Linked DNA regions of Lonchura striata. The protein of the gene in region 3 binds, or shares a complex with, the protein of the main gene of each other region. Links are inferred from orthologs where the notes say so. Each region holds a gene or a part of one and is shown on either strand. Other genes may lie near its edges.

Region 1 (3,746 bases), on a different chromosome or scaffold from region 3:
CCCCACCTGAAATAAAACAGTCAGACAGAACAGAACACAGCTGCTCAGCCTGTGTGTAGCTTTGCTCAGGATCTGAGCCCCCAGGTTTATCATTATACCAGCATAGCTAGATCTAAGAACTCTCAATTTAGAAGGGGATATTCAAACACACTGAAGTAGCACATGAAGGCAACTACTGCTCAAGTATGTGTTTCATGTAACATTTGATTTTTCAGAACTTGGTAGGAATAACAAAGGATAGAGAATACCCAACAAATTAATGTGTAAGTAACAGATACACACCTTGAAAGGAGCTCCATAGACTGACTCTCCTCCTGATCCAGTACCAGTGGGGTCACCCCCTTGCACAATAAAGCCAGGCACTACTCTGTGAAATATTGTGTTATTGTAATACTCTAAAAAAGAAAAAGAAATATATATATTTTAAATACATGTAAGTGGTCTCAAACCCAAACTTTCATACAGATCATGCAGTGATATCCAGAGACTGAAGTTCCAGAAAGCAAATACTGCAACTAGATTCCACTGTTGGCTTCTATTTGTTTCCGTTCTATTCTCCACAGACTTACGAAATCACAACCTGTGGTATCACATGCTTCTTTTGCAAAAAATCCTGCCCATCACTGACAAGATGACCTTGATGAATTACATTCTTTTCAACTTTTAAGATTTTATTAGTGGAATGACACTATCAAAATGCACCAATTTTAAAGGAGAACTAGAAATATGGTGCTGTATCCTGGATGAGATCTCACATACAACATTAGCCATTAGCAATACCCATATACAGATGATTTGCACTTTCACTCACTAGCATAGAACATCTTTAATCACCTGCACTGTATTGAAACTGGTAATTTTTGCAGAATAAAATATGTGGTACATTTTGCTCTCTAAGATATCTTCTTTTATCTATCTGATAGAGGTTATACGATCATAAGAAAACAAAAGGATTGAAAACAAAACTTTACCTGAATCAAACCCCTGGTTGATATAATAATAATAATAAATAATTCTGTAGCATGTTGCAAGATAAGGCAGGGTGTGCAAATGTTGCAGCATAACTAGACACAGTCATGGATGGTTATATGCTAGGATATTAATGAGAAATACTTAAATGTATTATAAAGCACAAGATGCTTTACAGTAATTAAAAAAAATCAGACTTAAATTAAACCCACTGAGCACATATGAACCTTTATCATGGGCTTAGAAATTCCTTTACCATTGCAAAAAGTCTCAACATTCAGGAAAAGAGACTGGACAAAACAGACTGGATCTATGCTGGAGGCACAAAGCTTAGACTGCTATTTTTGTTTAACATATGAAGGCAAAAAGAACTCTTCACAATTTTACAAATGCTTAAATAGGAGAATAATACCAGTTAGAAAACATATAAAGGCATCAAGCCTTTCATAGATTTTTGTTACAGTTTTCTCAAAAGGGAGCTTCTCATTCAAGAACCCACTAGTTTGCTGGAAAGTTTTACAGAGCTTTTATCAATCAAAAAATACAGTAACTGAAACATAAGGAGTGCTCAGGGAAAAAAGAAAAAAGAAATGATAGTGTAAATTGTGATGCAGAAATGACAGTTTTGGAGAATGGCCAATATTGTATCACTGCCATTTTATGCACACACTGATGTTGTTATAATTTGTAGACATTTGCTGAAAGAAAGCCTCTCAAGACTCAGAAAGACAATGTTTCAATTCTAGGTCATCAGCTTAATTTGAGAAAATCATCCAAAATTTTTATTTTTTTTCTCCACTAGCTTCATTGGTAACCTTGAAAAACATTGCCAGAGTGTTAACTAATAATTTCTGAACACAAATAAACCTATTGACATACTAAAGTCAAAATATAATTATGACCTCTATTTTACAGAAAGGGCACAAAGATCACGTAGTAATTAATTTCAACAGCTCCCCACCCCATTCAATCATTACCTTCCATACATAGCTGGATGAAATTTCTGCATGCTTTTGGTGCTTCTTTTGACCATAATTCTATATCTATCTCTCCTGCAGTAGTTCTCAGCAAAACCTATAAACACACAGATAAATGAAGACTCAGTTTACTGTAACTTAGTCACTGATCAAAGGTAAAACTGCCCAAAAAAATTAAATCTGAATTTGTTATATTTGTAAGAGTGATATATATTTAAGTATGTCAGGTAGCTACTGTTAGTTCTAACTAGCATTTCCAGAACTTGAGATACAGCTCTGAATCAATATGCATAATAAAGATGTATAATATAGTTGTAATAACATAACATAATATAACATAACATAACATAGCATAACACATAACATAAGATGGCTGATGCTTCACAGAAACTTTAGATACCCTTTATCATTTCTATATTGAGCAGCATGGGGGGAAAAAAAGCCATAAATATCCAGATATTGCCCTTACAAGGAACATAATATCCAGTGAGAGATCATAACAAAATTAAGGAGGTAAACTATAATCCGAAGCAGATTAAATTAAAAAATTAAATTAAAATTAAATTAAAAATTAAATTAAAAACTCCGAGGACTGCTCTGTGTTATGTCTCCAAACATCACGCCACATGCTTTGACTCTGGCAGCCTCAAAGAAGTAACTTTAACCAAACCAATCAACCACAGAAACAACGACCTCTCCACCCCCAATCACCACCACCACCACCACCATCACTATCATCACCACCACCCCAGCTCGTGTTCCTCTCGCCTGTCCCCCCATAACCCTACAACATACAGCTTCTCCAGGATTTCACCCAGGCAGCCTCACCTTCCCGTTGGTAGGCGGCTCCTGGATGTAGATGTTGCTCATGGTGGGGAAAGGAGCGGCCCGGCCGGCGAGCCCTCCCCAGCAGCCGGACCCGCTTCGCCGCCGCCAGCACTTCCTACCGCCCCGAGCCGCCCGCCATGCTGGGCGCCCCTATGCAGCCCAGGGGAGGGGGGACGAAATTGCACAAGCCGAAGAAAGGATGAAGGAACGAGTCCTCGGCCAGAGGCTTTCCGAGATTCACTGAGAAACAACGTGTCTGGGGAAATGTCGGCAGGCTTCTCCACACCTCTCGGGTCTCCCAGCGTTGCTCCCGCCCTAGGGGCGCTGAGGTCCCCTGCCTTCCCTGGGAGTGGTACGATCCGGGAGTGCGCCGGGCAAAGCCTTCCGGTGGGGACAGGCGTCGCTGCGCTTGCGGGCCGGTGCAGCGCGGCGAGAAGGGCGCGATGGCTCTGCCGGGTGAGGGGCGGCCGGCCCCGGCCCCGCAGCCCGGCACGGGAACGAGCGGCGGGGCCGGGACAGCCGGGACAGCCGGCGGGGAGGGCGCGCTGCTGTGCGCGGCGCTGGGAAGCGTGTGGGAGGCGGCGGGCGCTGCTCCGGTCCGGGCTGGCGGGGCAGCGGCAGGAAGATGGAGGTGGAGATGGATGAGGTGGAGGTGGAGATGAGCTGGAGATGGATGAGGTGGAGGTGGAGATGAGCTGGAGATGGATGAGGTGGGGCCGTGCCCGCGCTGGCAGGGGCAGCCGGGGGCGCTGCGGGGCCCGTCCCGAGGCTCGGGATCCCGGCGCCGCGCTGCCATCGCCTCCTCTGAGGCTGGAGCGAGAGCGCGGTGGCTGGCAGACTTGGCTTTTCCCTAATGCTTGTGTCCCAGTAGATGGTTCTTGTGGGTCAGGGCAGGCAGAAACACCTGCGCGATGTGCAAGGTGTTCAGGTCTGTGTTGGCCATTGCTCCGTAGTGTGCTCTTGCCCTGAAAA
Region 2 (3,746 bases), on a different chromosome or scaffold from region 3:
CAAAAAAATACTTTGAAAAGGATATAGTTCTCTACATATTGCGAGATGTCTCCCTGTAAACATACTTAAAATGCTTCTGTATTGGGTTTGCATGACCCCTTTTTTTGTAGCGAGCGGGCTACAGGGTTGACTTTTGTGAGAAGCTGCCAGATTCTTTCACCATGTCCAGCAGAGCCAATTCCTGGTGGCTCCAAAGATGGATGTGCCACTGGGCAAGGCCAGGCCGATTAGAAATGGCGGTAGCACCTCTGTGGTAACAGATTTAAGCAGGAAAATAAACAAGAAGTGTTTGTGCAGTTGTAGCTGCGGCCAGAGAAGAGCAGAGCGAGCCCGTGCGAGAAGCAGCCCTGCAGACGGCGAGGTCGGGGCAGGAGGGGCAGGAGGGGCTCCGGGCGCTGGAGCCGAGATTCCCTCAGGCCGCGGGGCCGCCATGGGGAGGCCGCTGTGCCCCGCAGCCCGTGGGGGCCGTGGGGATGCGGGATCCGCCACAGCCCGGGGAGGAGCCCCGGGCCGGAGCACGGGCATGCCTGGGAGGAGGCTGCGATCCCGGGGGAGACCCGTGGAGAGGGGCCCGGCTGCGGGCGGGAGCAGCCTGGCCCTGGAGGATGCACCCCGGAGCAGTGACCCACCCTGAGCGGGCTGGGGAGGCTGTGCCCGTGGAGGGACCCGTGGCAGCAGCTCACAGGGAGCTGCCGCTCCGAGATGCGCTCACGCTGGAGAGTTCACAGGGAACCGCCTCCCGAGCCTCCCCGGGGGCAGCAGGGGAGCGACTCCTCTCCCTGAGCAGCGGGAGAAGCCATGGGTGATGAGCTGACCATTACCCCCATTCCCTGTGCCCTTGCACTGCTGGGCAGGGGATAGACCTGAGAAGGGAGGAAGGTGGTTATAAGGGCTTATTTAATTCTCATCCTGCTTTGAGTTTGTTAGAAATAATTTCACATTATGTCTCCAAGTAGAGCCTGTTTTGCCTTGATGGTATTTGATAAGTGATCTTCCTCCTGCTCCTTATCTCAACCCATGAACTGTTTGTTAAATTTTCTCTCCTCTGTCCGGTTTGTGGACGGCAGTGAGTGAGCAGCTTTGGTGGACACCTGGCATCTGGCCACCATCCACACACTATAGCATCTTTAAGAGGTAGGTAAAAAGTTTTCTTTAACAGGCACTTTAGCCAAAACCCCACCCAGTCCTGAAGAACATTAAAATTTTATAGGAAATTTAGTCAGGATTCTATAGAAAATTTAATCACTAACCTCTTTGATTTGTTGCTTTTGCTATATACTTTCTTCTATCCTGCAACTTCTCTCTAGTTTCTTGGACTGTTTCAAATTCTGGAGCATAGCACACGTGCAGCAAACTACCAAAGAAACTTCGTTCATCCATTTTTTTCTTGGCCACCCTGAAGGGAATTAAAGTCTATCAACAAAACTGAGGATTTTACTTAACACATTGCAAGTACAGAAGGTGTAAAAGATTAAGACAGCAAGAGGCAGATATTGCCCTGTCCAATACCTTGCACATTGCAGTTTTTTGAATTTTATAAGGTACACTTCAGTAAACTGCTCTGCTGGATATTCATCTAAAGCATGATATTCCTCAATGGCACCATATAATGCAAATTGTTCAACTAACTCCTTCATAACACCTAATGCAGGAACTCCTTGTATCAGTAAGTAGCGAGATTCCAAGTTGATAGTGTAAACCTGAAAAAAACAAAAACAAAGACTATGAAAAAACATTCCCATTCTTGCTTTATTGCAAAAGGCATGCATTTTCTCCATGTTCTCTGTTTTTCTCCAAATCCTCTCAGGATGCTGAAAACCCACATGTACTGTTTTGCAGGGCAGTAAGTGCATGGTCATTTGGGACCTCTTCATCACTGAGCAAGAGATGAACTCATGCCTCTCATGCATAGTAAAACACAAATAGACTTGACTTTTCTACACAAAGTCAGAGTACTACTGCCAGTTCCCAAGTAAAATCTCTTACATCTCTGGCCATCTTCCATGCAAGACATACTAGTGACCAGTTTATAGGACATGCTGTCAAAATACAGAAAAAAAACACTGAAAAATTGGTCTTCATAGCCAAAGAAGTTGTGCAAGTGAGGAAAACTGCTTTTTTCCACACAGGGAGTAAAAAAATAATTACCACAATTCCCTGGGGTAAATCCTGTGTGTGCAGAGCTGTCTACTTCCCATGGTGATCCAACAGTGTACATTTTTAAGACACACAGATAAAATCTGTATGCTGAGAAAAAGAAGGTCTTCTCTCAGCAAGTTAAAAATGAAACCAACCATTCTTATTTGCTTTGTGACTGTCACATAACAGACTCTAAGCAAAGCTTGTTGATGGCTCACTATGTACAACAGACAGCTAGGCAGGTTATCCCTGAGATTAAAGGAAATTTATTCTGAGTTTGTTAAAAAAAACCCCAAACCACAAATATTTAGACTGCATAAGTTACACATATTTCTTAAAAAAACCCCATATTCTGGACAAAGTGAGAACTGCTTGGGAAATCAACTCTCAAACTTCCACTATAAAAGTTTCTGCAGGCAGGTCATGTAAGTTTTCTTGTGGCAGCTGCACACTCCCACCTACATTCTTTTGGGAACAAGGGATTGAAGGAATTTCAGGCTTTCACTATGTGACTGGTTTTTTTGGGAAGGTTTGTCCTTCTACCTCTTTCTTGTCCAGGAAGAAAAGATTCTAATAAGGTTTTTTCCACACTTGGGACATCCATACTGTTTCTCCTGTGTGTCTCCTCCAATGCCCAGTGATGGCTGGATGCCTGTGCTGGCCAGAGCTCTGTGGATGCACAAGGCTCTCTGTCCTCTGCCTCCCCATGTACACTTGGAAGAATAAAAGAACGTAACAGCTTTGAGACTTCATGAACTATGGAGGGTTTGAAATTTTACAGGAAGGTGGCACTGGCGAAAAAGATGTCCCTATGTTTGTGGGCACGCAGTAACCCTTATTCCAGCACTGGTGAGATTGCGCCTCGAATCCTGGGTTCAGCTCGGGGCCTCTCTCCAAGACACTGAGGTGCCAGAGCATGTCCAGAGAAGGGTCACAGGTCTGATGAGGAGCAGCTCAGCGAGCTGGGGGGCTCAGGTTGGAAAAAAGGTGGTTCGGGGAGTCATCATCGCTCTCTACAACTCCTGACGAGAGGCTGGAAACAGAAGCGGTTGGACTTCATGATCTTAAAGGCCTTCTCCAACCTTAGCGCTTCCTTTCTCGCGCCAGCCTCCAAGGTGCCGCTACGGCTCACTGTACACAGAGCGCACACAGAGATACCAAAGCTCTCAGCTCTGCCGCAGTAACGAGAAGCCCCGGCCGCGCAGCAGGCCAGGCCCAGGGCCTCCCTCTCTCCCTCCCGGGAGCCGCGGGACTCCAGCGCAGCCCCGGCCGCCCCCAGCCCCTCACGGAGGCGGCTCCGCCCGCTCACGCCCGCCCGGCACCTTCACGGCGCGCGGCCGCCACCCCTCGCGGTACTTGGCGCGCGACGCGCACGCTCCCAGCTGCGCGTGGTGCCGGCACGGAGCGCCCGGGCCCCCGCTGCTGCCGCCGGCCGCCATCTTCCCACCGCCCCCCGCGCCGCGCAGCCCCCCCATTGGCTCCCTCCGTGCGGCGGGAGGAGGAGCCGCGGTCCGCAGCGAAGGAGCCAATCAGAGGCGGGCAGCGGGAAACGCCGTGCCCGCATTGGCCGGCAGTGGGCCGTACCACTGCCCGGGGGTGGCAGGGAG
Region 3 (3,746 bases):
AAAAGGTGACATTGTCCTGGGGAGGGGACAGTGCCACTCCACTGCTGGCTACAGCTGGGCCACCACAGGGGTCAGGCACGGAGCAGAGACAGATCTCAGCCCACACGGGGCCACCTGAGGAGCTCTGGGCCAAGTCTCAACCACGGCCGGGTGGGCTCTGCCCCGGGGCTGTTCAGGGCACCCCGGGGCCGCTGCCCTCGGGTCCCTCGGGGCAGCCTCAGACCCTCAGAGCTGAGCTCAGACCCGGGGGGAGCGCCCAGCCGAGCTCCCGGCCCCTCCCGGGCCGCTCCCCGAGCCCCGGACCTGAACTGGTCGTAGTCGGGGACGCCCTGGCGGAGCGCCCGCAGCTTGGCCTCGCCCTCCCGCTGCCGCCGCTCGTCCTCCGCCAGCGCCGCCCGCAGCTCCCGCTCCAGCGCCGGGAACGCTCCGGCCGGATCCATCCCGGGCTCCATCCCCGGCTCCATCCCGGGCCGCGGGCAGGCACCTGCGGGACGTGCGGACAGGGACAGCCCTGCCTGCGGTGGCTTCGAGGACACACTTCTGTCACAACAGCGCTGCCGGGACTGGCCCGACAGCCCCGATCCTATCGCGACAGTCCTGCCTTGTGAGCCCCAAGGCCGCGCACGGGGATGGCCACTGGGAAGCGCTCCCCTGCCCGAAACTCCCCAGGCCCTGACACACCGCCGGCCCCGGGGCCCCTTGCTGTGTCGCGACAGCCCCGCGGGTGACGAACACCTCAGCCCAGGGCTGCTCTCTATCGCGACAGCCCCGCGGGTGACGAACACCTCAGCCCACGGCCGCGGTCTATCGCGACAGCCCCGCGGGTGACGAACACCTCAGCCCAGGGCCGCTCTCTATCGCGACAGCGCCGCGGGTGACGAACACCTCAGCCCACGGCCGCGCTCTATCGCGACAGCGCCGCTCCCGCCGCCAGAGCGCCGGGGCCACGCAAGGTCCCCGGGGCTGCCCCGGCCGCGCCTGACAGGACCGGCCCCGCCGCCCCGCGCGGCCCCGCTCGCCCCGCGGCCCTCGGGATGCTCCGGAACCGGTCCCGACCCGGTCCCGACCCCGCTCCGGACTCAGCCGGCGCTCCTCGGAGGGGCGCGGCGCTGGCGACGGGCGCGGAACGCTCTGTGGCGACAGGCGGCGAGGGCGGCCCGGGGCCCTTCGGCAGCGGCGGCGCCGGCGAGAGCAGCGGCGGGAGCGGAGCCGGGGCAGGTGAGGGAGAGCGGGACCGGGAACGGGACTGGGAATGGGAATGGGACCGGGAACGGGACTGGGACCGGGGCCGGTGAGGGAGAGCGGGAACGGGGCCGGGGCCGGGGCCGGTGAGGGACAGCGGGACCGGGACCGGGAACGGGACTGGGACCGGTGAGGGAGAGCGGGACCGGGAACGGGACTGGGACCGGGACCGGGAGTGGGACCGGGGCCGGTGAGGGAGAGCGGGACCGGGGCCGGGACTGGGACCGGTGAGGGTGAGGGAGAGCGGGACCGGGACCGGGCCGAGGCTGCGGACAGGGCCGGGGCTCCGTGCCCTGAGGCGGTTCTGTCACGGCCCGCAGTCCCTGCGCCCCCACCGATCCTCTCCCGCCCCCCAGCATGGACACCGACCTGTACGACGAGTTTGGGAACTACATCGGGCCCGAGCTGGACTCGGACGATGACGACGACGAGCTGGGCCGAGAGGCCAAAGACCTGGACGAGGTGAGGCGGGGCAAAGAGCCCCGGGGCCGGCGGGGTTCGTCCTGCCCGGAGCCGGAGCGGGGACGGGCCCGGGCTGCTGCCGCCCCGTGTGACTCTGGGCTCTGCTCAGTGCCCGAGGGTCGGAGTGTGCCGGTGTTTAAAGGATTACAAAAGCTGTTCCTGCAGAAAGGGAGATGCAGAGTCCTTGCTGGGAGCTCCCGGGCCGGGCTGTGCTCGGCTGGTTTGGTGTCGGGCGGGGTCCGTGTCCGGCGGGAGGGAGCCGAGGCTGCCGCGGGGAGCCGCATCCTGGTGGGGAGAGGCAGAGCAAGACCCCACGGACACGGGGGGAGCAGAGGGGCGGGGAGCCCCTTCCCATGGCCTGTGGGGTGGGTTGTGTTACCGGGTGTGATTCTTGTGCTGTGTGGGGTCGCTGCCTGGGCTGGTGTCCCTGCAAGGCCAGGGGCTGTTCCTGATCCTGTGCTGTGGGCAGAGCCATGCTGCTCCTCCAGGAGCTGCTCCCAGGGCACCTCTGGGGCTGCACTGGGGTCCCTGGCTCGGGGTGACCCCAGGCCTGTCCCCTTGGGGGGCCCCACAGCCGCTCAGGGCGAGCTTTGGTTGCAGCTGGAGGATGATGACGATGACGATGACATGGGGGAGCACGATGAGGAGCACCCCGGGATGGAGGTGGTGCTGCACGAGGACAAGAAGTACTACCCCACGGCAGAGGAGGTCTATGGGCCTGAGGTGGAGACCATTGTGCAGGAGGAGGACACGCAGCCACTCACCGGTGAGTGGGGAGGAGGTGGCGGGAGGAGAAGGCTCTTAATGGATCCTTGGAAAGGGAAATAATCTTCCCTTCTCTCCTGCCCCGTTGGAGCCCCCTCCTAGCCTCAGGAGCTCTGCCTGTTGTGTGCAGATTTGGGCACTTGTGGTTTTTGCAAACCCAAAGGTACCTTGGAAGAACAGGAATCAGCAGAGATGGGAAAGCTGTGTAAGGGAGAAGTAAATGCAGTTAAGTGATCTCCTTTACCGGAATGGCTCAGCTGGAAGGGCCCTGCAGTGGCCATCTCCTGCAGCCTTGACAAACAGCTGGGAGAATCTGTCAGCCACAAAATTGAGGGGTTGTCAGCTGAAGTCCCCATTCCAGGGGCCATTCCTGGTTCAGGGGCTCTGGGAACAGTCTGTTGTTGTGTCTCTTGTTTCAGAGCCCATTATCAAACCTGTGAAAACCAAGAAGTTCTCCCTGATGGAGCAGACGCTGCCGGTCACTGTCTACGAGATGGAGTGAGTGTGGGGCTGGGGAGGCACATCTGGGCTCTGGCTTGGTGTCCCACTGACCTGAGAGCAGCCAGTTCCCAGGTTCTGAACCCAAAACAAGAGGAAGTGCAGGACAAACTGTTTCACAGACATTTTCCCTCCCCACCAGCAGCACAGGGTAGGGTTGCACACAAAAGGGGCTAATATCAAGCTCCATAGCAACAGCTTGTGGCTCAGGAAACCTTCTTGGAATGGTTTGGGTCGCAAGGGACCTTAAAACCCATCCCTGCCATGGGCAGGGACACCTTCCACTATCCCAGCTTGCTCCAAGCTCCAATGTCCAGCCTTGGCCTTGGATACTTCCAGGATGGAGCAGCCACAGCTGCTCTGCCCAACCTGTTAAATATCCACACAGTCAGTGTGTAGCACACATCATACTGGGACATTTTGGGTTGATCCCACTCTCAGATTAGGTCAGATTAGGTCCCATCTGTTCCAGTTTCCATTGGGAATTTTTGTGCTGCTGGCTGAGTGCAGAGTGCTGTGTCAGTCAGCAGTTGTGCTGTGCTTGTGGCCCAAAGCAGCTTCTTGGACACCAGGGCTGGGAGAAAACTTGGAAAAAATTCCAAATGCATTTAAAATTGGAGATGTCATATGTCAAAGGAGTTTTCTGTGGAATAAAAAGCATCCTTGGCTTTTTCTGGTAGAAATGTAGTGTTGGTCTGTGCATTGTGGTGGGCAGGGTCCATGGCCCTGTACATGCAGTGTGTGTGCGTGTTGTCTCTCTTTGGGATGAGCAGCTGGAG

The links.
Region 1: EFTUD2 (region 3) and CWC27 share a complex: the UniProt entries of both Homo sapiens proteins name them as parts of the minor spliceosome. The link is inferred for Lonchura striata from reciprocal best matches to the Homo sapiens genes EFTUD2 and CWC27.
Region 2: EFTUD2 (region 3) and RBM48 share a complex: the UniProt entries of both Homo sapiens proteins name them as parts of the minor spliceosome. The link is inferred for Lonchura striata from reciprocal best matches to the Homo sapiens genes EFTUD2 and RBM48.

What each region holds. Positions count from the first base shown.
Region 1 is NC_134642.1:28,456,177-28,459,922, forward strand, and holds the start of CWC27 (spliceosome-associated protein CWC27 homolog), read right to left. Parts: upstream 2,947-3,746; 5' UTR 2,817-2,946; coding exon 2,775-2,816; intron 2,044-2,774; coding exon 1,947-2,043; intron 396-1,946; coding exon 283-395; intron 1-282. Other genes in the region: protein SREK1IP1, read left to right, coding at 3,218-3,230. UniProt on the Homo sapiens protein: As part of the spliceosome, plays a role in pre-mRNA splicing. Probable inactive PPIase with no peptidyl-prolyl cis-trans isomerase activity. As a component of the minor spliceosome, involved in the splicing of U12-type introns in pre-mRNAs.
Region 2 is NC_134603.1:133,592,970-133,596,715, forward strand, and holds the start of RBM48 (RNA-binding protein 48), read right to left. Parts: upstream 2,699-3,746; 5' UTR 1,911-2,698; coding exon 1,510-1,910; intron 1,397-1,509; coding exon 1,251-1,396; intron 1-1,250. UniProt on the Homo sapiens protein: As a component of the minor spliceosome, involved in the splicing of U12-type introns in pre-mRNAs.
Region 3 is NC_134627.1:2,898,553-2,902,298, forward strand, and holds the start of EFTUD2 (116 kDa U5 small nuclear ribonucleoprotein component), read left to right. Parts: upstream 1-1,132; 5' UTR 1,133-1,218; intron 1,219-1,598; 5' UTR 1,599-1,599; coding exon 1,600-1,704; intron 1,705-2,304; coding exon 2,305-2,470; intron 2,471-2,888; coding exon 2,889-2,967; intron 2,968-3,746. Other genes in the region: DNAAF19 (dynein axonemal assembly factor 19), read right to left, coding at 304-464. UniProt on the Homo sapiens protein: Required for pre-mRNA splicing as component of the spliceosome, including pre-catalytic, catalytic and post-catalytic spliceosomal complexes. Component of the U5 snRNP and the U4/U6-U5 tri-snRNP complex, a building block of the spliceosome.